Linked DNA regions of Astyanax mexicanus. The protein of the gene in region 1 purifies or fractionates together with the protein of each later gene. This does not show direct contact. Links are inferred from orthologs where the notes say so. Each region holds a gene or a part of one and is shown in the gene's direction. Other genes may lie near its edges.

Region 1 (7,657 bases):
TAAAGTCGTTTTTAAAATAGGTCATTTTACTTTTACTCAAGTACATTTTGACACAAGTAATTTACTTTGCTACATTGGAAAACTCCCCGTTACTGAGTGAAAAATAAAATGCTGGGGGAAAAAAAACGAATTGTCTGAATTAAAAAAGAAATTTGAGTTTTGTTCTCCATGGCAGCGCAGCTGTTCTTAAAAAAGTTTTATGGGGTGGTCTGAACAAATACTGCCTGAAAGATCCAAATTATTATATAAAAAGATTTAATTTATGATTTGTTGTACTTTTACTCACAGTACATTTTAAATTGAGTACTTTTTTTACTTTTACTCAAGTAGATTTTTAGATGGGAATTTAAATTTTTAGCAAAGTAAAGGTACTTTTACTTAGGACTTTTTCCACCTCTGCCAACGTATAAGGAAACATGTCAGCACTTTTTTTATTTTTCCAAACAATCTGCTTTGTCATCGTTCTTTTAAAACACGCATTTCAACTTTTCAGCGTTTTTTTGGAAGATTTGTTGGAGGTGATTTGATGGAGGTGATCTGTTGCTCAAACTTGTTAAAACTTTCACTATTTCAAGTCTGCGAGTTTACCTCTTTTAAAAACATGTCCCATGTCCACGACGCTTTCATAGGGGAGGTCTCTGTGTTCTGTTCATAAACAAGCTTACGGGCTGAGCACAGGCCCTTCATTATTTTCAGCCTCCTTCATCAAAAGAGCGCTTGTTGCAGTAAAAGTCTGTGCGCTGGAGTGTAGAGTTACTCGTCTGCGTCTCAGGTCACTTCCTTAAAACTGGTTCTACTGGTGCGGAGTGCTCTGGGTACGCCGAAAGTTAATGAATGCTAAAGTTTTACAACAGGTTAGCCTGGGGATTATTAAAATGTAACCATATGAAGCAAAGTCAACTTTGGCTTTAATGTTTAACATGGAAAAATGTTCAGCCTGGGTTTTTCTGTGGATTTCACCTTGATCACCCAGCAGTGATTCCTCTCATTCATACATACATACATTTATGAACAAGCTGCTTCACAAATACTCAGTGTGCACTCAATTGTACACAAAAATCCACGCTAGTTTAGTCTAGTTTCTTAAGATTTTACACACAAATACACTGTTTGTACATAATGAAAGTGATGTTTCAGGCACATTCACATTCACACGCAAATAGACATTTTTGCACCTTTACTTTCATAATGTAGAGCTTGCTGAAGGGAGTGTGGGAATCATGTGAACATCTGGTTCTGTGGGAAGGACATTGAGGCTTTGCTACTCTTATCTTAAGCTATCCAGCGCCAACTGACAACAAACAGACATCTGTTTCCAAAACATGGAGGAGATTAACATTTGCATTCAACGTACTGTAATTCTTACTTACATAGGATATGCTCAGGAGCCTCAAACGCTTTAGTTTCATTTAAAAAATAATAAAAAAATACATTTAATTAGAACAGAGAAAGGTAGCTTTAAAGCATTACTACTGTACTAAAAACACATTTATACTATAGAACATGTGTGCAGCATGTTACTGTAGATCTATAAGTATTATTATTGAAATATAGTGGGAAATTTTAAATGTATTTCAACCGTGAATCGGAGTACAGTAATCTTGGAGCATGATTTTAATTTCAGCAGTTTAAACAAGACACTTTCTTTGCTAACTATACATTTTTTACATTATTTTCAACTCAGATCTAATTTTATTACTAGTTTTAGACAAAGGGATATCAGTATATCATCCATAACTGTATATATTATATAAGACCAATTGGTGCTTTTGGCAGCGTGGGCAGTGTGCCAAGTCCTGATGGAAAATGAAATCCACATCTCCATAAAAGTTGAAAACTTTAGACTTAGTAATAAAACACAGTGGATCAACACCAGCAGATGACAGACATGACTCTCCAAACCATCACTGATCATCAGTAAATTTTACATTTTATTTGTAAATCAAGGGAGCAGAGTCTGGAGGAAGAGTGGAGACAAACTGCTCGAGGTCTAGTGTGAAGTTTCCACCAATCAGTGATGGTTTGGAGAGACATGTCATCTGCTGGTGTTGATCCACTGTGTTTTATTATCAAGTCTAAAGTCAGTGCAGTTTTGTTTTCCCAGAAAATCTTACAACACTTCATGCTTCCCTCTGCTACTGACAACTTTTATGGAGATGCAGATTTCATTTTCCAGCAGGAGTTGGCACACTGCCCACACTGTCAAAAGTACCAATTGGTTTTATATAAAAATCAAATTTTCTTAGACACTTATTTATGGGTTTTTGATTGGCTGTAGCCACAATCGTCAACAATAAAAGAAAAAACGCTTAAAATAGATCACTCTGTGTGTAATATATTTATATAATATGAGTTTCACATTATGAACCGAATTACTGAAATAGAGTAACTTTTCAATAATATTCAATTTTTTTTTAGTTGCACTAGTAGCCAAATGAAAGGCACAAAGAAAGGCAGCCAATCTATTAACTTAACACATATATGTTAGTGGTGAGTTACCTCAGCATGCTAACACCAAGCTAGCCTTTTTCTGCTTGTATTTTTAAAGTAATAAACAGTCAGTGGTGCTGAAATATTTATTTCCTTTTATTTCAGTTTATAAAGTACAGTGTATTAATGAACTTTAACTTGCCGCTTATTGGCTAACTGCTGCCTTTCTGTGGTACTGCTCTGCTCTGCTAGCTAAACAGCTAACGCTAGCTACACTACAATAAGAGAGAAAATCATTGAAGAGAAGCTTCTTCTTTAGCTAGTAATCAAATTATTACCAAAATAAACATTTTGTACATTCATTAAAATAATATGTCTGGAGACATTTAGTTTAGTTTCTTTAGTTTGGTGAACTAGTAACATTACTGGATAAATGTGCATGTGTGTTAAGGTTTATCGCTAGCTACAGTAGCTATGTGTGTTAGTGCACTGGATAGCTAGCCAGCTACATGATGTTTATTAAAATATAAAATGTGTTATTAATAATACAATAAATAAAATTAAATTAAATAAAACTTGAGAATTATATTATATTATTGTTTATTAAAACAGTTAACAATCATTTTACCATTGCTGTTTAACATATAGTCTAATATTTTCTGTGCTAAAAATACATCAGTCTGTTACTGTGACAGATTTATTTGTGCACATCAATTTTAGTTGATTCAGCATTGATTTATCATTATGGTTTTATACAGTATGTATTGTTTGTGTATTATTTTAACTCTAATTACACTAAAAACTTATATGTTGTTTGTATTATACGCTTATATTCTAAAAACCTTTATTTTTGTTCCTGCACCTTAGATGGTTGGTGTGTTACAGTGTGGTGTAGTGGATAACATCACCACCTGCCAGCGAGTTAATGTGGGAGACTGGGGTTCAATTCCAGGTCTGGTTGACTGAATGCTGTGCTACACCAATAAGAGTCCTTGGGCTAGACTCCTAACACTACATTGACCCAACTCTCTAATATGAATAACTTTGTAAATCGCTCTGAATAAGAGCATCAGATAAATACAGTTAATTAATTAATGAATCTGGACATTATTTAACATGACATAATTATCATTATTATTATCATAATTTATTATTTGTGGGAGTAGAAGAGCTTATCCCATCCATTCTAAGCCTTCAAATGAACGTTGATTTAATGTCAGAATTTCACCAATAATCAATTATATTGAAAAATAAGCTAGTATTACTTTAAATAAAGGTCGTTTAAATGTTTTTTTTTTATCTCATCAACATTAAAAGTTGGAATGCAACCAAAAAAATACACAGTACCACTTTAAAATAAGACTACCTTTATAAAGGGTTTATAAGTGGTTTACAATTAGTTTATTAATGATCACTAATTAGGTGGTAAATGCCTTGAAATAATTAATAATCAGTTATAACACATATGTAGAAAGGGCAACAATGACCTGTTGTTTGCCAAATAGTGAACCCACAGCCATCTATACTGTTGCCCTTTCTACGTATGTGTTTATTTTAACTGATTATTCATTTTTAGGCATTTTAAGGCATTTACAACCTAATTAGTAACCATTAATAAACTGTAAACCATTGTAAACCATTTATAAACCCTTTATAAAGGTAGTCCTATTTTAAAGTGGTACCAAATACACTTATTTCATGTTATAGAGTTTGCAATGAGGCTATTCATACTGTTAACAAAGTAACTACAGCAGCTTACTAGCTAATTGCTGCCAGTACGTTCCTGTACATTTCACACTGTTCTTTTTACACATAGTATTAATAACAGAAATAGTAACAATACAATGTTTAAACAAAGATGAAAAGCAGGAAAAGCACTTTTACTGACTTAAAGTCAGTCAGAAAGGAAGCAAATACAATCCTTCCTCCACCTCTATATGCTATAATAAGGGCATTGTCTGTGTTAAAGATTAACTGACACCAGGATAGCATTGAACTGTGCTACAGAAGTCCATAAATCTAACGATGGCCAAAACCTGGACTTTGGTTCTCCTTCGCCTTTCCTTAAAGTCAGTGAAGGTTAAAAAGTACAAATGAAGTGCAAATGGAGGTTGACTGAATTATAACAGAAAATCTAAATCTCACCTGCCAAACTCCGCCCCTTTTCCCTCGACTCTCCTCCTCCTCAGGTAGGAGGGCTGCGAGCTATAAAGGTTTGCAGACCTGTTTGGAAGTGCAGAGACTCCCACTGAGAGGAGTCGCCTCACACTTTAACCACAGGGAACAGGAGCACCGTAATTTACTGCTGGAACCTGAAAACACAAAAAAAAAAAGGAAAAATGGGGTTAGGAGTAAGTTGCGTTTTTATTTCTTATCTGCTTTGTTTTATTAACACACCTTTATTTTAATATTTGATTAAGTTTTAAATATTTTTCTGTTTTAAGATTTTAATTTGATTTTAATGACGTGTTTACAGCGCATTGTGTGTGAGCTCACCTTTCTTAACAAAAGCTGTAATTTTCTCACATATTATTTTTCCTCAGACGGGTTCTGATAAATACAAGCTGGCCTCAACTTCAGAAGATGGAGAGAAAAAGAAGAAAAAGGGAAAGAAACAAGATAAGGACATGGATGAATTGAAGAAAGAAGTTGATTTAGTAAGAAATTCCATTAATAATAAAAAATACAAATATATTAATCAAGCCATTTTAACAAATATATGTATGTTGTACATAAATATATTGAAATCAATTATTCTTTCTTATAAAAAACAAAACTTTTTTACATAAAAAGCTACAACTATAAACTATAATTTATTAGTTAAATAAACAGCAAAACAATAAGATTAAGACAAGTAGAAGTAAAATTTAGCAAACTGTAACACATAATTTTTATTTAATTTTTTTCCATTTGTTTTGGCAAAAAATAATTTATTCTTCCTTTATTTTGTTAAAAAAATTATATATATATTTTTTTTTTACATAAAACCACTAAAATGTGCTTTATGTAGACTTCTATTTCTTTATTCAAAAGGGCACTTAAAATACACATCCTACAAAATTAAAGAAAATAGCTAATTTCACATAAGTAAAATGGAGAAATTTGAAAAGAAATGCTGCTGTTTTACTCTGAACTGTTTCACATTGGTTTTGTTTGATTGAAATATTAATTATAATAATTATTGTGTTTTCTCTACTAAAGGATGATCATAAGTTGTCTTTGGATGAACTTCACCGCAAATACGGCACAGACCTCAGCAGGGTAAGTACAAAAGTGTAGAGCAAAAATATATATATATATATTTACTGATTGATCATTTTCTCAAGATAAAACATTACTTTTTGTACAATTTTGTTAAAGAATAAAACTCATATTTTGTGCTAAAACTACACAGTAGACTTTTTAAGCATGTGACATAAAAAAAAAACTTATTTATTAAGATTTTTGCTTGGTGATCTTGATGAAAATAGTCATTTTAACTTTTGTAAGTTGATTTTTCCACAGTTTATCGTTTACTACACATTTTCTAACCAAAATGTCCAATAACAAATCTTTTAAAAGTCTTTTTCGTACTATTTTTAAGGGTTTATCTGCGACTCGTGCTAAAGAAATCCTTGCACGGGATGGACCCAACGCTCTGACCCCACCGCCAACTACTCCAGAATGGGTGAAGTTCTGCAAGCAGCTGTTTGGAGGGTTTTCCACGCTGCTGTGGATTGGAGCTATTCTCTGCTTTCTGGCTTATGGAATCCAGGCTGCCTCAGAAGATGAACCAACCAATGATAACGTAAGATAACCCGAGGATATTAGATGCAGATTTATAGATGCATATTTAGCATGTTAGCATCATTATTCTCTCTTTCTATATCTCTAATTCAAACATTCGTTTGTTGCAGTTGTACCTTGGTATTGTGCTGTCTGCTGTGGTCATGATCACAGGATGTTTCTCCTACTATCAAGAGGCCAAAAGTTCAAAGATCATGGAGTCCTTTAAGAACCTCGTCCCACAGGTATAATAAAACCATAAAACCATATTCCACTGAGCTGAGCTGTTCACGTGAAATTACTCAACACCCTGCTGTATCGTTCTAATACAGCAAGCCCTGGTAATCCGAGACGGGGAGAAGAAGAGCATTAATGCTGAGGAGGTGGTGGCTGGTGACCTTGTGGAGGTTAAGGGCGGAGACCGAATCCCTGCTGACCTGCGCATTATCTCCGCACACGGATGCAAGGTGACTGTTAAAAAAATTAATCCGACTTAATTACACAAACAACTCTTCTATCTGTCCTGGGAATTATGTAACATATATTTTTAAACCTAAAAAGGCTGATTTATGAGGTAGGAATTAAGGATTAGCCTTTGTTTTCATCCCTGAATCAAAAATTAGGCAAATATTTAAGCCAAATGGTTGATTTTTGTCTGCAATTTTTTTATTTTTTTCAATCAAACAACAAAACAGATATAAGTAGAACCAAAGCTTCAAACTGTATCATATTATTTCCTTCAGACTTTTCAAAAGTATGTCAACCCTTTAGAATTTCATGGTTTTAAAAAATATAATGTGCTGCAAATAATTGCACAAAAAAAAAAAAACATTATGATTGTTCTTGTTTTCATTGAGAAAACTATAAAAATATCAGAATTCTAGTGGTAAAAAAGTATGTGAACCCTTATGTTATATGACCTCAAAAAAGCTATTTAAAGTCAATAAATAGGATAGCTGGAGTCTTGCTAGTTTAGAAGTTTGGAGTCGCACTAATTTGACTAATAAAACCTGTTTTTATCAGTCAAATTTTTGTTCTACACAAGACGAATATGCATATGGGAGCAATGCTGTGCCAAAAAGAGCTTTCAGAGGATCAAACAAAGCTACAAAGAGAGATACAAAGTGATTTCAAAGACTGCAGAAACTCTAGAAAGTCCAAGGTAAAGGCAAACTGTCTACAAAAGGAGACAAGAAGTGGGCGCCAAGTCAAAAAGACCACAAGAACCAGGAGAGACTTATCAATGAGATAGAAAGAAACAGACCAGAAACAAACCCTTTAAGCCAGGGGTGTCCAAACTTTTTTTGGGGGGGGCAGAAGGAGAAATATATTTGAAGTCAACTCCTTATTTACGGTAACTTTTAGACTCTTTGGCCTCTTTTTCTGCCCTACAACTGAACACTCTTGCTACTTTTAGACTCTTTGGCCCGTTTTTCGGCGCTACAAATGAGCACTCTCTACC
Region 2 (7,838 bases), on another chromosome or scaffold:
CTGTAAATTTAATCAAATATTGTTGTAAATGAGTTTTTATTTTATATTAATTATTTTTAACCCCCCCCCCAACTCTATCATTGTCCATCGCGATGTTTCACTGTAAACATCGTCATCTGCCAATTAAGGAGACATCGCCCAACCCTACTATCAGTATAAAACCTACAAAAGCATGCAAAACACCCGTCTGAACACCCCTGCTTAAAGTGTCTTTTAAAAAAACAGATAAGAGAGTAAAAGATGAAAAGAGTTTAAACTAAATTATTTTATGAATCTGAAAGGGAAAAGGGCCCAAAAGCAGCCTGATCCAGGATTACAGAATTTGAAGATAGTAATACAATAATTGCTAATGGTTGTTAAGAACAAACCATAGGCATAGCAATGTAATTAAGGTCGTAGACATTGATAAAAGCTGCCATCCAAAAGTCTATTTTCCTCTCCAAACTTTTACTTTTTAGTAAACATTTTTATAGACTAGTTTATCTTCTATTTTCCTAAATATTCACAGCAACATATTTATAGGGTGCCTAAACGTTTGCTTGCACCTTTGAACAACACTGATTTTTGCGAAAGAAAAAGTGAATATTTGCTGACAATTTGCTGATATGATAAAAGTCCATTTCATAACACTCAGCCTTAAAAAAAAATAAGTGTGCAGTATGAAAGTGAAAATGACATCACATCACATCACAATAAAACTAATTTCCCTTAGAAAGACAGAACAGTGTGTTGGAGTTACTGACCCGGCCTGAAGGGTCGTTGATCTTGATGACTGCAACGTCATCTTTGAGCTCATAGTTGACATAGGTGCGAGCTGAAAAAAAGATCACAGATATGTACAGGATTATACGCCAAAAGCAGGGATCATAAAATTAATAATGTGTGTTGATGGTTTAAAACACTTATGCTAATAATTACCCAGCAGAGCTGATGATGCAGAGAAGTTCCGGCGTCCATTCACTAAACAAAAAAAATATATATTTGCACAAGTGAACAGAGCCCTCAGCTTAAAGAAAAATACTGAACCTAAAGACTGTAGATACAGCCTGAAAAGCTTAACACATTCTCTAGCTTACTATTTTATGTAATGTTTATATAAACTCAGATTACTTCATCTAAATCACATCTTTAGTTCACACAACACTGAAAAAACATGTGATCATGAATAAAAGTGTGAGTAAAACATGCAGTCAAAAACCAGTTTAAAGATGTTTACTTAAGATTGGTAATTTTAGGGTGATATTTGGACAAACATTTAAACAGGACAGGTTTATTCTCTCGTGTGTGGCCCGTCAAAATGATATTTTTTTGTGGACGATTTAATCGCCCCAGTAATTATTGTGATAAACGATATTATTGTCATTTTAAGCCCAATTACATGCCACTGACATAATGATAATAAAAAAAATCAATTTTATGAATTAATTAAAATTTACAGTTAAGGACGATGCGTTTTTATGAAAACTGATTTTCTCTGTTTAGACTTCTGCTACCTATGCTCCCTTCTGGGCTTCTATAGTTCAGAGTGGCCCTCCTCCGGTGAGGATCCGTGATTATTTGTGGAAAACAATAAATAGTGCTCCTTGAATGTTTCTTTCATTACAACTTTCTGTGACCTGTTTACTGCTTCATTACTGCTCACATTCTGCAGTATAATCCAGTGTCTGTCTCTTTTTAATAGGGAAATTTTTTTAGTTAAAATCAAAAAACTGATTTTCTTTTATTGGTGAAAAAAAAATAGATTTTTAGGGCATATTACCCAGCTCTAAAAAACAGAAAAGCTTAAAGCACAACTTCGTTCCCTTTTAAAGACAACAAATTTGTAATTTATTATAGTTTGGAAAATACATACTTTTTGCAGTACACACTGTGTGTATGGGGTTATTAAAACATTGGATATTACATAACTGGCTAAAATACTGTTCACTGTTATATATGTGAACAAACATACAATTAAACACAATAGATGATATCACAATTATCAAATATTATTGAGGGCATGTCCATTTAGTGAATGATAAGTCAATAATGTAATGATCGTGACAAGAAAAAAGGTTTTTGCAGAGCTGTGAAACCAGAAAAATCTTCAGTATTACAGAAATTAATCACTTAAGATATTTTCTTCTAATAAGAAAGCTTAAAAACTGTCCCAATATACAGCTATTATATCTATAGCTACTTTACCAACAAAACTTTGAGGGTCACTTTTACTGACCTTGGTCAATTGTAACTCTTTAATATTTAGTACTAGACTGAGCTAAAGCCACAGAATCATGCAATTAAAATCAAAAGAAATCATGTATGACCCTAACCTTAATCAAAACAGTTTAACATCCCTTATTAATCAATAATGACTCTGACCTAAATACAGATACAGTTACTGATGCAGCATGACCTGCAGCCCAGTTCTGTTTCTCCTTCACCTGACCCGGTCACAAGAGGTAATGCCACCATACACACCCTCTGTGAGAGAGCGTGTGTATGAGTGCATGTGGAAAAAGTACTCTAAACAGGGAGTGACAAGACGACTAGCGTCACCAGGACTTGGGTGTAAATATGGTTTGGGACATCATTCACTCAGGTACCATATATGGAAACTTTGGGGGAATGTTTGGGTCACTAGGCCAACCTACAAAATCATACCAGAGCCCATTTAATATCTCACTTTGCAATATATATTTTTTTCTGTATTAATTGCTATTTTGAAAAACAGGATTTTATATCAGATTTCTCCAGAAGTCCCTGATTGTTACAATATTAACAATTTATTCCATGTATCCAAAATTGGAGTCAAAAAAATGATGAGAGAGCAGTGTGATTTTTTTGTATCGTCTTTTGTATCAAGCAGCTAAAAGGTAACATTTGTTTGATATGACGTCACTGCCATGAAATCATTTCAAACAGTAAAAAACAACAATTAAAAGGATATTGAAAAATTCTTTATAACTGTGACTACATGCATGCACAAATAATTGCAATAAACAACAGTATTGTCATGTCAAGATCCTTTTAATCCTATTTACACAGTTACAGAGTTATCTGTGTGTGTCTTTTTCTACTGTAGTTATGTGCCGTGTGCTTCTAGTGTTTCTAGTGTGTAAATGCTGCAGTAGAGAGTGCAATAACAAAATCTGTTCCAGCACTGCTTTACTACAGATAAAAGCTTTGTAAATTGACAAGTTTTTCAAATCAATTTCCAAAGCTCAATTTATTTTTATTGCTACTCATAAGCTGTAAGCTAATTATGGAAACTTTATTCAGAATAAAAGTGCAGTGACCTTAACTGTAGACCACTGGGTCACTAGGCCGATCTAAAAAAAATGATACTCCGTGTTCCAGGTTGCAGCATTACCAGAGCCTATTTAAAATCTGACATTACAATATCTATCTGTGATATGGGTGTGTCATATAGTATCTTATGGTACGCAATAATATCACCAACATTTTTGAATATTGTGAATGTGAACGATATTACATCCTAAAATATTGTGCCATATCGCCCACCGCTAATTATCACATCAGGGTCCTACTTTTTTTGCTGCTTTTAGCAAAATAAAAATTCACACTGTTCTCATTTACCATTATATATCTACTAGAGACAGATTATATCTGTCCAGTATCATTCATTTTACTTCATTCCTGGATATATGGAGATATTTCAAGTGCATTAATGATCATGATGTTCTGGTCATTGACTTATTTTACAAATCTGATAAAATTCTTGTATTTTTTATTATCGCAGTTAGGGGTGTGCCATATTATATTGTATTATATTATATTGCTGAAGTACGTATATTTTTAAATATATATATATATTTTTTAAATTCAGTGTTTTGACATATCACCAAGAGTATCGCCATCGTGAAAATACAATGAAATATTGTGATATTATATTAAGCCATATTGCCCACCTCTAATCTGTGATTTAGTGCAATTTTTAAAATATAGGGTTTTATATCAGATTTCTCCAAAAGGTAATGACAGTTTTCAGTTGTTAAAATCATTCCTTTTTACAATACTCTTTTTTCTACAATAATAAAATGTTTTTTTCAGTGTTTAGTTCATTTGCTTTCCTTCAAGGCCTTGTCAGTTTACTGCAAAAAATGTGTACACTGATTTTTGTGCCATTTCCTTCTATTCTTGACTGTAGATGAAGAAAAACAAAGGGGAAAATTAGTTTAAAGGAGCAGCTCTGATTTCACTCATTCTTCTATAACTAAACTCACTCAATGCAATGCACATATAACTAATCTACTTCACAAATTAATAGCATGCCTTATTACATAACACACACTGACATTCTCAACTCTTTGGTACACTGGGGTGGTGTGTAAGGTGGTCTTCTGGTCATGCACTTGATCATTCCCCCCCATCGGTCACCCTCCCAGCAGAAGTAGGTGAAAGTTCATCCGCCTGTGAGGCTCGCAGGGTCGCGTAAGGACGCTACACGCACTGCAGCTTTTCGCTATTGAGCTGATTTCACTATAAAAAACTACAAAACCCAGAGTCTGAGTCTGATCTGCTGCACCTACCGGAGAAATGAGGGTATCTGCTGGCCGCAGATCTGATCAGTGTGCCCGCCGCCCGTACGCTCGCCATCGCCTCCGGAGCTCCGCTTCACAGACGCTGAGAGACAGACAGACGCACGCGCACAATCACGCACTCACACACGCGCACCCCCCCAGCACACAAACCGTGAAACGGAAGCGCGAGGGAGGGGAAACCGGTGCGTTAAGGACCCAAGCTGCATTCCATTTCTCAGATTGCGTAGCTAAAGTCACTTTTTAAAAGCACTGACAACTGAAACACGTGCACATGAATATATACGGCTCAGTGCATTTGGTTTTATATGTGTATGCAGATTAGTTTTTTTGTGTTTAATAGTTTTAAGACAATTTAGTGCAGGCAGATTTCAGGGCTACTACGAAACTTTTAAGGTCTTTCGAGCTGCACATTTTTTGTAGTCGTTTGTCATCTTGGTCCAGTCCCAGGAAGAGTCCCGCGGCTTCGGGTTCATCATACAGCAGGATCTGCGCAGGTAACGCTCCTTCATACACACACAGATTATCTGCATTCACTGGCTATAATAACATAATAACACACACATACACAGAGAGATACTGAACGCTTGAGAGTGTTTGTGCACATGCGCAGTGCGGGCTGGCTGATTTCACTGTCAGTGTGGTGTCTTGCTGGCTAGCTGCGGTAAGCTCAAATCCTGCTGTTTTTAATGGTCTCACTATTTTATTTATTGTAAATAAGCCTGTTAAAGTATTTGTGTTTAGTGTGTTTGGTAGACAGGGCAGTGCAGTTTGTAGTTTTGCACAATTAGTGTGTGAGAGTGAGATAGTTAGCAGTGTGTGCAGCCTGCCCTTGTGCCGGCTGAAGAAGTAGGTGAAGGGTCACCGAGCTGTTTATAATTCAGCTAATCAGGGCACGTTACCAGAATGAAATCAGAAGTCTTGCATATGACTTTTACACACCTGAGACACTGTAAAGTGTGATTAATCAGCTGATCGCAGGTTTGTTATTCTGATAGACACGCATTTATTACTAAAATGTTTACATAAGAGGATATATAATGCTACCTTCAATACCTCCTCATAAATTACTGTAGATTCATTATTTTGAACAAACAAACAAAAAAACAAACACAGTGGACTGTAATAGTGTGATTATAGCAGAAAAGAGTGACATTGGCATTGACATTTGTTTATTAAGTGTCATGTTGAAGGTGAATTAAGAGCACTGACGCCGTTTTCGCTACACTGTATGTTAGCATACATGGTGCTTGGTGAAGTTGTCTATAGCATTATTTTAATATAATAATGTAATTTAATGTAATAATATATGACTATATATTAAAGAAGAGTGAGTGACCGTGTTGAATTCACAGCTTTACAACCTTGACCAGGCTGACCGCAATGACACAGTAAAGCCTGTCATGTATGGGATCTGAACCCACGCTAGAGGAGGCCATCCTGACGGACCCTTAGTATAGTGGGCGTGGTCACCCTGTTGAAGAGGCGTGGTCTAATTCTGTGTCGGCCTGGTTTCTTTCTGTTCGCTACAGTAGATACTGTAGCATCGTTACGTTTTTTCTACCATCGCAAATGAAAAGCGCAAAAATCGAGGCAAAATATAAACGAAACTATTTTGTGGATTTATATATGTAACATATTGTACATAGAGTTTAGCAATATATCAATATTTTTATTGTATAATTATATAATTTACCATCATTTATATCGTGAGGACACTGCTTTTGCTGTCCAATGAAAAACGAGAAGCTCCATTTTTGTTGATTTTTAGTTTGCTAAATAAGTTTAACAGGCGAACTGGCAACATTTATAAAAGACTTGAAATAAACACTTTTTATTTCATTTACTTACATTTTGTTGCTGTTCTGTAAAGTTGCCGTTTTGGAGATGCATGTTTTTCAGTGGACTGCGATCATATCAAATGTACCATCAGGGCCTACAGGACCCTGACCTAACTAACCAATTTAATTACAGAGAGTGTTTAATTACATGGTGTGCCACAAAAATTTAATAATCACTGTGCAAATTATTAAATAGTATTTAAATAGCATAATAGCAGAATCTGACACTGCTGATGTTTTTTTTCTCCTTATTTAAACTTGATGATAAATACTGTGTGTCAAAGTCAAAGTGGTTTTTATTGTCATTTCAGCTATATACAGAGTACACAGTGAAACGAAACAACGTTCCTCCAGGGACCATGGTGCACATAAACACAGTGTAGACAAAACAATAGTGCAACAGTACAAAAGTGCAGACAGACAATACAACACAATACAGACAGAATAATAAATAACAAGACAGTGTACAAATTATGCAGTGTGCAAAAAGTGTGCAAAAAGACCAGTGAGGTAGTAATTACCTCTATTGCACAGTGTGCAATAGAGTCCAGTGAGGTAGTAGGGTTTTTAGTGCTTTCCATTTTCTGGGGTAAGTGGGGTAAGAGTGTGTGTGCATGTACAGAAAAAACATCAGTTCAGTCTCTGCAGTTGAGGAGTCTGATGGCTTGGGGGTAGAAGCTGTTGCAGAATCTGGTCGTGCTGGACCGGATGCTGCGGTACCTTTTTCCCGAAGGCAGGAGGGAGAACAGTTTGTGTGAGGGATGGGTGGGGTCATTCACAATGCTGGTTGCTTTGCGGATGCTGCGGGTGGTGTAAATGTCCGTGATGGAGGTGAGAGAGACGCCGATGATCCTCTCAGCTGTCCTCACAATACGCTGGAGGGTCTTGCAGTCAGAGACGGTGCAGGTCCCAAACCAGGCAGTGATGCAGCTGCTCAGGATGCTCTCAATGGTCCCTCTATAGAAGAGTGTGAGGATGGGTGGAGGGAGACGGGATAACGGGGAATGGGATATAATATTTTTACCATATCACTCAGTATCAGCATGCCATTATGTACACCATGGACAGTGGCTTTTATACTGTACATATTGGTATCAGAATCTTAGCATGGGGACCTAAATGAAGTAATATAGTATGAAATAAATTTTGGGAATATTTCAAGCCCTGAAATTAAGCCTAGAACTTTAAAAACATAAGGCTTCTTTCATAAACGTATAATCATTTCATAATATTTTTATGTCATACTCTCTTACTTAATACTTGTAAAACGTCTATGTTCTTGCCTGGTCTGTTGAATGTGTTGCATGTTATACATCTGTGTCATTCATTCATTTGTGAATTTTTTTTTTCAGATTTCTAAATGCTGCTGGTGTATTAAATCATTTGTCTAGTATACCCTCAGCCATGTAAAGCTGCTTTTTGACATAAATAGCATAATGCAATTAAAATTAAATAC
Region 3 (7,013 bases), on another chromosome or scaffold:
AAACAGCCCAGTGCTGCTAACAAATACATAAACTACACAAACTAAACAAAATACACAAAATACACAAACTAAAGAAAACTACACAAATTACACAAACCAAACTAAATCACACAAACTAAACAAAATACACAAACAAAAAAATACACAAACTAAACAAAATACAACCACTAAACAGATTACACAAAATAAAAAATACACAGAAATAATACATACACATATTCATCTTTAATTATTTAGCATGTGGGCAAAAATTACAAAGAAATGTAAAATATTAAAACCTTAATTTTAGTTTTAGTTAAAAATTGAAGCACTATTCAGCTTTAATAATTTAATAAGGAAAAAACAGGACATTAAATTTAAGATAATTAGTAAATGTAATTTTTACAGCTTTAAAGTTTCTGATTTTTATAGTTAATGTATTGTTTTTAAATGTAAATTTATTTTAGTAATTAAGTAAATTAGCATGTGCAGCTTTTTTAATGTTTATGCAGAATTTAATTTTTTTAATACAGTATTTAAAAAGTACTAAACTCTAGTGGTGATTAAAGGGAAATCCATCCAGTATGTATTAAGGTATAAGAGATTACTCTATAGTGTTTTAATATTGTAAAATTACTGAATGTTTTAATGCAATTCATATCAAAAGTAAATTTCACTTATTCAGCTACTGCATATGTTTCGTATTCAGTGTAAAACAGACTTTATAATTCCAGCATAAAAAGGAAATAATAAAGTGATGTTTATTTAAGTAACATATTACCCGTTTATAAAATTATTAAAAACATTACACTTATATTTAATAAACAAAACACTGAGTAAACATAATACAATTATTTATAATGCGTTATATATAATTATAACTATGCTGTAAAAGATGCGGAGAGGAAGTGAGTTCGGAAAAATAACTAAAAAAATACATTTAAAACAAATAAAACCTTTAAAGATTCTGAATTTAATGCGCTGATGTTTCTGCAGCTCTGAGAGTCACACAGCGCCACCCTCCGGCCAACCCGCCTCATTACAACAACACACACCTGCAGCCTTACACACATTACAGCACAGCAAACACACACACACACACACACACACAATACATACACACACAATACACACACACAATACATACACACACTATACACACACACACAATACACACAATACATACACACACAATACACACACACACACAATACACACAATACATTCACAATACATACACACACAATACACACAATACATACACACACAATACACACACACACACAATACATACACACACAATACACACACACACACTACACATACACTGAACTCTTCACGCACAATACTAAGAAAACACACATCATCTTTAAAATAATAAATACATCATCATCAAATCTCTTGTGAAGATGAGAAAAATCAGTTTATAGTTTTTTCTGTTTCTTTTCTCATCTGTTTATCATTTCTTCCCAAATTAGAAGTTCCTAAACTGCGAGCTGTGGATCTCTGCAGCTCCTCTACAGTGACCATGAGTCTCCTGAGGGGATTTAACACACAGTAAAGCTAATCCTGCACTTCACTAATCTGCCCTTTATAAACACATAAACCAAAAGAAACGTTTTTTAAATGATAAGAGTTTGAAATTTAGTGGAGCTAAAGTAACCGTACAGGAACCAATCACATTAACTTCATAACTGTCCATTACTGAACTCTTAAATCCTTAATCTTTATTCTTTACTGATTTATGTATAAACCATTAAAGAATAAATCAAAGATAAAACACAAATTTACTAAATTTACTTTATAATCAGTGTACAGCAGAGAGTCAGTGGTGATACAGTACACAAAGTACATCATTTTACAACAGTACTCAATCCTGTACGGCTGCTACAGATAAAATAGAAATATACCTTTATTTATAGCAGCACAATATATAATTTCAGCATCGTTATTGCATTGAATCGTTCCGGTTGTGCAACAGTCACATTATAATACAGGGGTTAGAACTGAATATATATTACAATATATGGTAAGCATATATTGTGAGCAAGCAAGACAATTTATTAAGATTATTTTTAAATTAAATTTTAGAACTTTATTGAAAATTAAAGGAATGTAATCAGAAGGAAGATGGATGATCACAAGCAATCAAACCAAACTTAACTGCCTAGTGCCTAACCTTTTACACAAACCAAACATGATCCCAAGACTCATGCCAAGGCTATCATTAAAAATCTGTTATTCCATCAAATATTGATTTCTGAACTTTTAAGACATTAGTGTTGTTGTTTCTAAATAAATATGAACTTGTTTTATTTGCATTATTTGAGGTCTGAAAGCTCTGCATCTTTCCCCTAATTTAAATAACAATATTTTATTTGGAATTTGGGAGAAATGTTGTCCGTAGTTTATTGAATATAACAACAATGTTCATTTTACTTAAACATTTACCCGTGATCATTTTAAAGGAATCTCTTATTGTTTCTGGAGCTGTAACCTATATATCTTACTGTAGTGAATAAAGAGGCAAAATTATTTTATTAAAGAATTAAAGGAATTTATAATAAACTCGTGGATAAAGTTCACACAACCTGCACAGTATAAATTAAATATAAAGTACAGTATAAAGTAACTTACAGATAAATATGTACACTGCTGTATAATATGTGTCAAAGTTACTTTTAACTTAATTGTAACAGTTTTTTGTTGTGTTAATCTTATCTTCTTTCAATCTTTTTTATTTTTTTTTTTTATCTTTTATTCACTGTTTTATTCACAAATGATTATTATTTTTTGGTCATGTGAATCCCCTGTATTTGTAAATGCTCGCTACACTGAAAATGAGGGTTGCCCTCAATGTATTTCTTAGTTAAATTAATGGTTGATTGATTTATTGATTATTGGTCAGTTTTCTGTCTGAAGCCCCACTGGTTATAATGTGTTTAATGTTTTGTATTAATTCGGTAAATAATGCATTAAACTCTTTCGGATGTTATATATGATGTCGCTATGGTTACAGTTCCGAGATTTTCCGCGAGACATGACTAAATCTCACCTCAACCGCGCATGCGCTGCACAAATAGCGTAAGAGGCGGGGCGGGACCAAAGCTGAAGACCCCGCCTACTTCCTTCCTCCGCCGTTATATCAGAAATCTGCCCACATAGCCGCCAGGGGGCGCCCGCGAGGGAGTGCTCAATGAATAGGGTGAATGGAGCCAAACGAATAAAACTCAAATTAAATATAATGTCCAATACTCCAGAATATTCCTTTAATTTGACCAAAAAGCAAAGAAAATTACCTGTATATTACATTTCTCTACAGTGAACAGGTTTCAGTAAAGATGCTGCATTACTGCTACTGTGAGCTGATTGGTTGGTAAGTTTAAGCTGGAAATACAGACAGAGCTTTTAAAAAAGTTTAAAAGCTTTAAAAATGTGTGCAATAAAACATGTGATGCAGTTCTGTGGTGAGGAAACGTGTTTTTCATTATAAAAATGATCAAACATTTATAAACTGTGATTTTTCTGTAATGCTCCATATGAACCCATTCATTTATACTCTGTATAGTATAAAAGTAGGTTATCTATACTTTACTGCCGTAATTATTTTACATTTTCACACAATTATCTGAACTTTCTACTTCTTACATTTTAAAAAACAGCCTCGTTACTCCTGTTTCATTTCAGCTGGTTTTCATTCCGGCTTCTCATCATTCAATAAAACTCCTATCCAGATAAATCTCTCCATCCAGATAGAGTGAATCTGATTCTGATTGGATGTAGAGAAATATAAACATATACCATTCCCACTCCCTATTGGTTTAACTGTGATCCATCACACCTGCACACAGTTTTTGAATCCAGTACTTTTACACTTTTACTTAAAGAGTAAAAAACTTGAGTTGATTCTTCAACTTCTACAGCAGTATTTGATTAAACTTTAGTATCTATACTTCTATTTACAGAGTGATGGATGGAGATGGGGATTCTCCTGGGTAGAAGGTCTGTGGCGGTGCTGCAGATGTTGTTACGCGGACAGCGTGACCTCTCCTCTCCTCCTCCTCCCTCCATCTCTCTCTCTCTGTCTCCTCCCCCCATCCTCCTCTCCTGACTGAAGACTGCAGGCCGGGCGGAGAGGCTGTATCTGCGGTAAGCTCCAGCTCCAGGTTTATGGTTGTTACCGGTTACACGGCGCTGTTAGACCGCACTGCCCGCAGCCCGGCTGCGCTCCGCGGGGTTTAGCGGGAAACCGCGGCCGCAGCGCGGGGCTGAAGCTGTCGGTGGCGGCGGGGTGATGTGCAGCCAGGCGGGTCCGCGGCCTGGTAGCGCGGTGCTGCAGCCCGGGGATGCCCGGGTTTGGGCGGTGAGACCGCGGGGAGGGATTGGGTGGGTCTCCTCCTCTGCGTTCATCCCCGCGGTCTTTCTGCTCCAGGCCGGACCCTGACCGCAGCTCAGCTACCCGGGTAGCACAGGTCTGTAATTCCGCTCCACAAAGTAAAAATCCACCCCGGGATCTTTTACTGCAGCTCACCACTGATCTACTGAACCAGAAACCTGGGTGGATTTTTACTTTGTGGAGCTGGATCACTCATCTCTAACTAGCGGCTGTGGCTAACGGAGCCCAGCGGGCAGGGAGCAGGCAGGGAGCGGGGTGATGCTGCGGATCTGCCCGCCCTCAGTAACCTTCATCACACACCGCGATATTTAGAGAAGAGACTCGGGGATGGATGAGTGTGTGTGAAGGAGAGAGAGAGAGAGAGAGAGAGAGAGAGAGTGTGTGTGTGTGTGTGTGTGTGTGTGTCTGTGTGTGTGAGTGTAAGGGGGGGGGGGGGGGGGTCTTTCTCCTTGACATTGTGAAGGCTGTACACACTGCTGTGTTGCATCAGCTCAGTTTATTCTTTCTTCTAGTGTATAGATTAGTGTATAGATTCATTTATATAATTAATATATAATACAGGTTGAGAGTATAAACCCTGCTGTAGTAAAGCTGTAGATCTGCTGCTGCTGCTGTTAAACTCGGGCTAAATCTAACCCTCCTCTCCCAGCTTCACCTTCACACTCCGGATCTGAACACAGGCCTGTGTTTAAACTGTGCTTCTCTAGTGTGTTTTTAGACTTATTTAACTCTAAAAATACTAAAAAAAAGCTCCATATTAGAGCATGTTCCCGCTAGAAGTCCCAGTGCATGTAGCGTTACCGTATTTGGATAGCATAAATCACTGTATCATGGTAAAGATATGGAAATGAGAGGTCATACTGCTTTTGGATTTTTTTAAATAATATTTGTAATTTTTATTATTATTAGTTTCCATTTTTATAGTACACTTTTTTTAGCAGTGACAGTGAGACCGGATTTTAACAAATTTATTGTAAAAAAACTAAATAATTAAAAAGTGTAGGTCAGCGCATGCGCAGTGCCTTTAGGAAGCACGTATCGATGGGTAGCACAACTCGACAGAACACCCGGCTCTCTCCTCCTGCTTTTAATAAACTACTTATTCTTAAATATTCGTATATATATGATATAATTATAAAATATAATTCTAAAAATAAAACAATTTACACACACATTTATCCCCTGAACGCAAAACATGGATTGATCCATTTCTAAATATTTTGTTTTATTTTTTATTAATTTGCTAGAAATTAAATTAGAGGAGCAGTCCATTCTCTTATTTAAATATCCATGTAGTTGAGTTTTAACTCAAAAGGAGGAGTTTGTCAGACAGGGGTTAGGCCTAGTCTTAAACTGCACAGCATTTGGATTTAATCTGAATGAAGATCCATTTACAGGAAAGCATTTTAAACATGGAGGTTTTTAAATGTTGTTTATGTGAAGCGTTAACTCCGTGCAGAATGGGAATAGATTAGCATATGCTTAACTCTTAAAGCTTAATGAAAGCGTGGTGACGTGATTAGCTCACTACTACTGGAGTACAGGTCAGGAGCTCAGGGTTGTCGGATCAGATCAGTCAGTGATGGTGCCGCATGCGGTTCTATGGGGAGGTTCTATGCTGGTGATTCAGTGATTTCTGGTCGGGTTAGCTTTTTTAAACTGGTTCTCAGGTAAGAACTGACAGCAGTGTGGTTTAGATTGTGTTGAGAGTGAGCTGTAGTTTGTTGCTCTGTTGTGAGAATGGGTCTAATTGGCTGAAAGGAGAGCAGATGGTCAGATGGTTTCTCTATGGATCCATGTTCTGATGCGCCCCAGTGACCATTTACTGTTCCCATAATCCTCCAGTTATTATAACAGCACACATTCCACAGCGCTGTCTCCTCCACTTCAGTTCACACCGGGTCGGTTCCGGTTCAGTTCTGCGGTTCCTCTCAGTAAAGTATAATTCTGTGTTCTCCTGCAGATCATGGCTGTTCCACCGACATACGTTGACCTGGGAAAGTCTGCTAAGGACGTCTTCACTAAAGGATATGGTAGGAATTGGGTTTAGATGATTGGTTGGATTGTTGGTTGAGTTGGGAGCTGATCTTCTACAACATGTTTAAACACACCTCCAAACTCCTCCTTCAGCCCTGTTTGGACAGATTATTTATTATTGTTTACCTGGGGAGGGGAGGATGGGGAGTCATGTATTTTTGCTATTTTGTAAAAGTAAATAAAAACAAATTCACACTTCACACACAAACGTATCTCAGTATAAGTGACAGAGATGGGAGTGGCTACTCGATTTACACACTGCTTTCACCTACAGAGAACATAATGATAACCATTTTATAACCCACTTATAGTTTATTTAATTTTAGTTGTATTGGTTGAGGATGATGTACCAGTGTTTTAAAATGTACTCTGCACTAACTACAGAGTGATATACGGCTCTATATAACACAAACTATAACTTTCACAACTGTCTGTTCAAATTAAATGCAATTCTACTAGGTTTAATCCTGTTTTTATTGAGTTAATGAATCAAAGCTGTGCTGTGAAGTGAACCGTGAGTTTTCTGTATTGTAACTGTAATTATAAAAAAAAAAAAATGTTAAAAGCTGTAGATCTGTGCAGTTAAATGGGTTAAAGATGG

Evidence for each region.
Region 2: the proteins of sodium/potassium-transporting ATPase subunit alpha-1 (region 1) and hadhb fractionate together in Homo sapiens (co-fractionation; 3 studies listed by BioGRID, with this or other methods). This does not show direct contact. The link is inferred for Astyanax mexicanus from reciprocal best matches to the Homo sapiens genes ATP1A1 and HADHB.
Region 3: the proteins of sodium/potassium-transporting ATPase subunit alpha-1 (region 1) and vdac1 fractionate together in Homo sapiens (co-fractionation; 3 studies listed by BioGRID, with this or other methods). This does not show direct contact. The link is inferred for Astyanax mexicanus from reciprocal best matches to the Homo sapiens genes ATP1A1 and VDAC1.

Annotation. Positions count from the first base shown.
Region 1 is NC_064428.1:5,392,053-5,399,709, reverse strand, and holds the start of sodium/potassium-transporting ATPase subunit alpha-1, read left to right. Parts: upstream 1-4,645; 5' UTR 4,646-4,769; coding exon 4,770-4,781; intron 4,782-4,973; coding exon 4,974-5,087; intron 5,088-5,631; coding exon 5,632-5,691; intron 5,692-6,013; coding exon 6,014-6,217; intron 6,218-6,326; coding exon 6,327-6,440; intron 6,441-6,527; coding exon 6,528-6,662; intron 6,663-7,657. UniProt on the Homo sapiens protein: This is the catalytic component of the active enzyme, which catalyzes the hydrolysis of ATP coupled with the exchange of sodium and potassium ions across the plasma membrane.
Region 2 is NC_064408.1:42,744,993-42,752,830, reverse strand, and holds the start of hadhb (trifunctional enzyme subunit beta, mitochondrial), read left to right. Parts: upstream 1-4,825; 5' UTR 4,826-5,038; intron 5,039-5,112; exon of another isoform or gene 5,113-5,205; intron 5,206-7,838. Other genes in the region: hadhaa (hydroxyacyl-CoA dehydrogenase trifunctional multienzyme complex subunit alpha a), read right to left, coding at 744-814, 919-960, 4,533-4,599. UniProt on the Homo sapiens protein: Mitochondrial trifunctional enzyme catalyzes the last three of the four reactions of the mitochondrial beta-oxidation pathway.
Region 3 is NC_064424.1:47,952,954-47,959,966, reverse strand, and holds the start of vdac1 (voltage-dependent anion-selective channel protein 1), read left to right. Parts: upstream 1-4,000; 5' UTR 4,001-4,128; intron 4,129-6,338; 5' UTR 6,339-6,341; coding exon 6,342-6,408; intron 6,409-7,013. UniProt on the Homo sapiens protein: Non-selective voltage-gated ion channel that mediates the transport of anions and cations through the mitochondrion outer membrane and plasma membrane.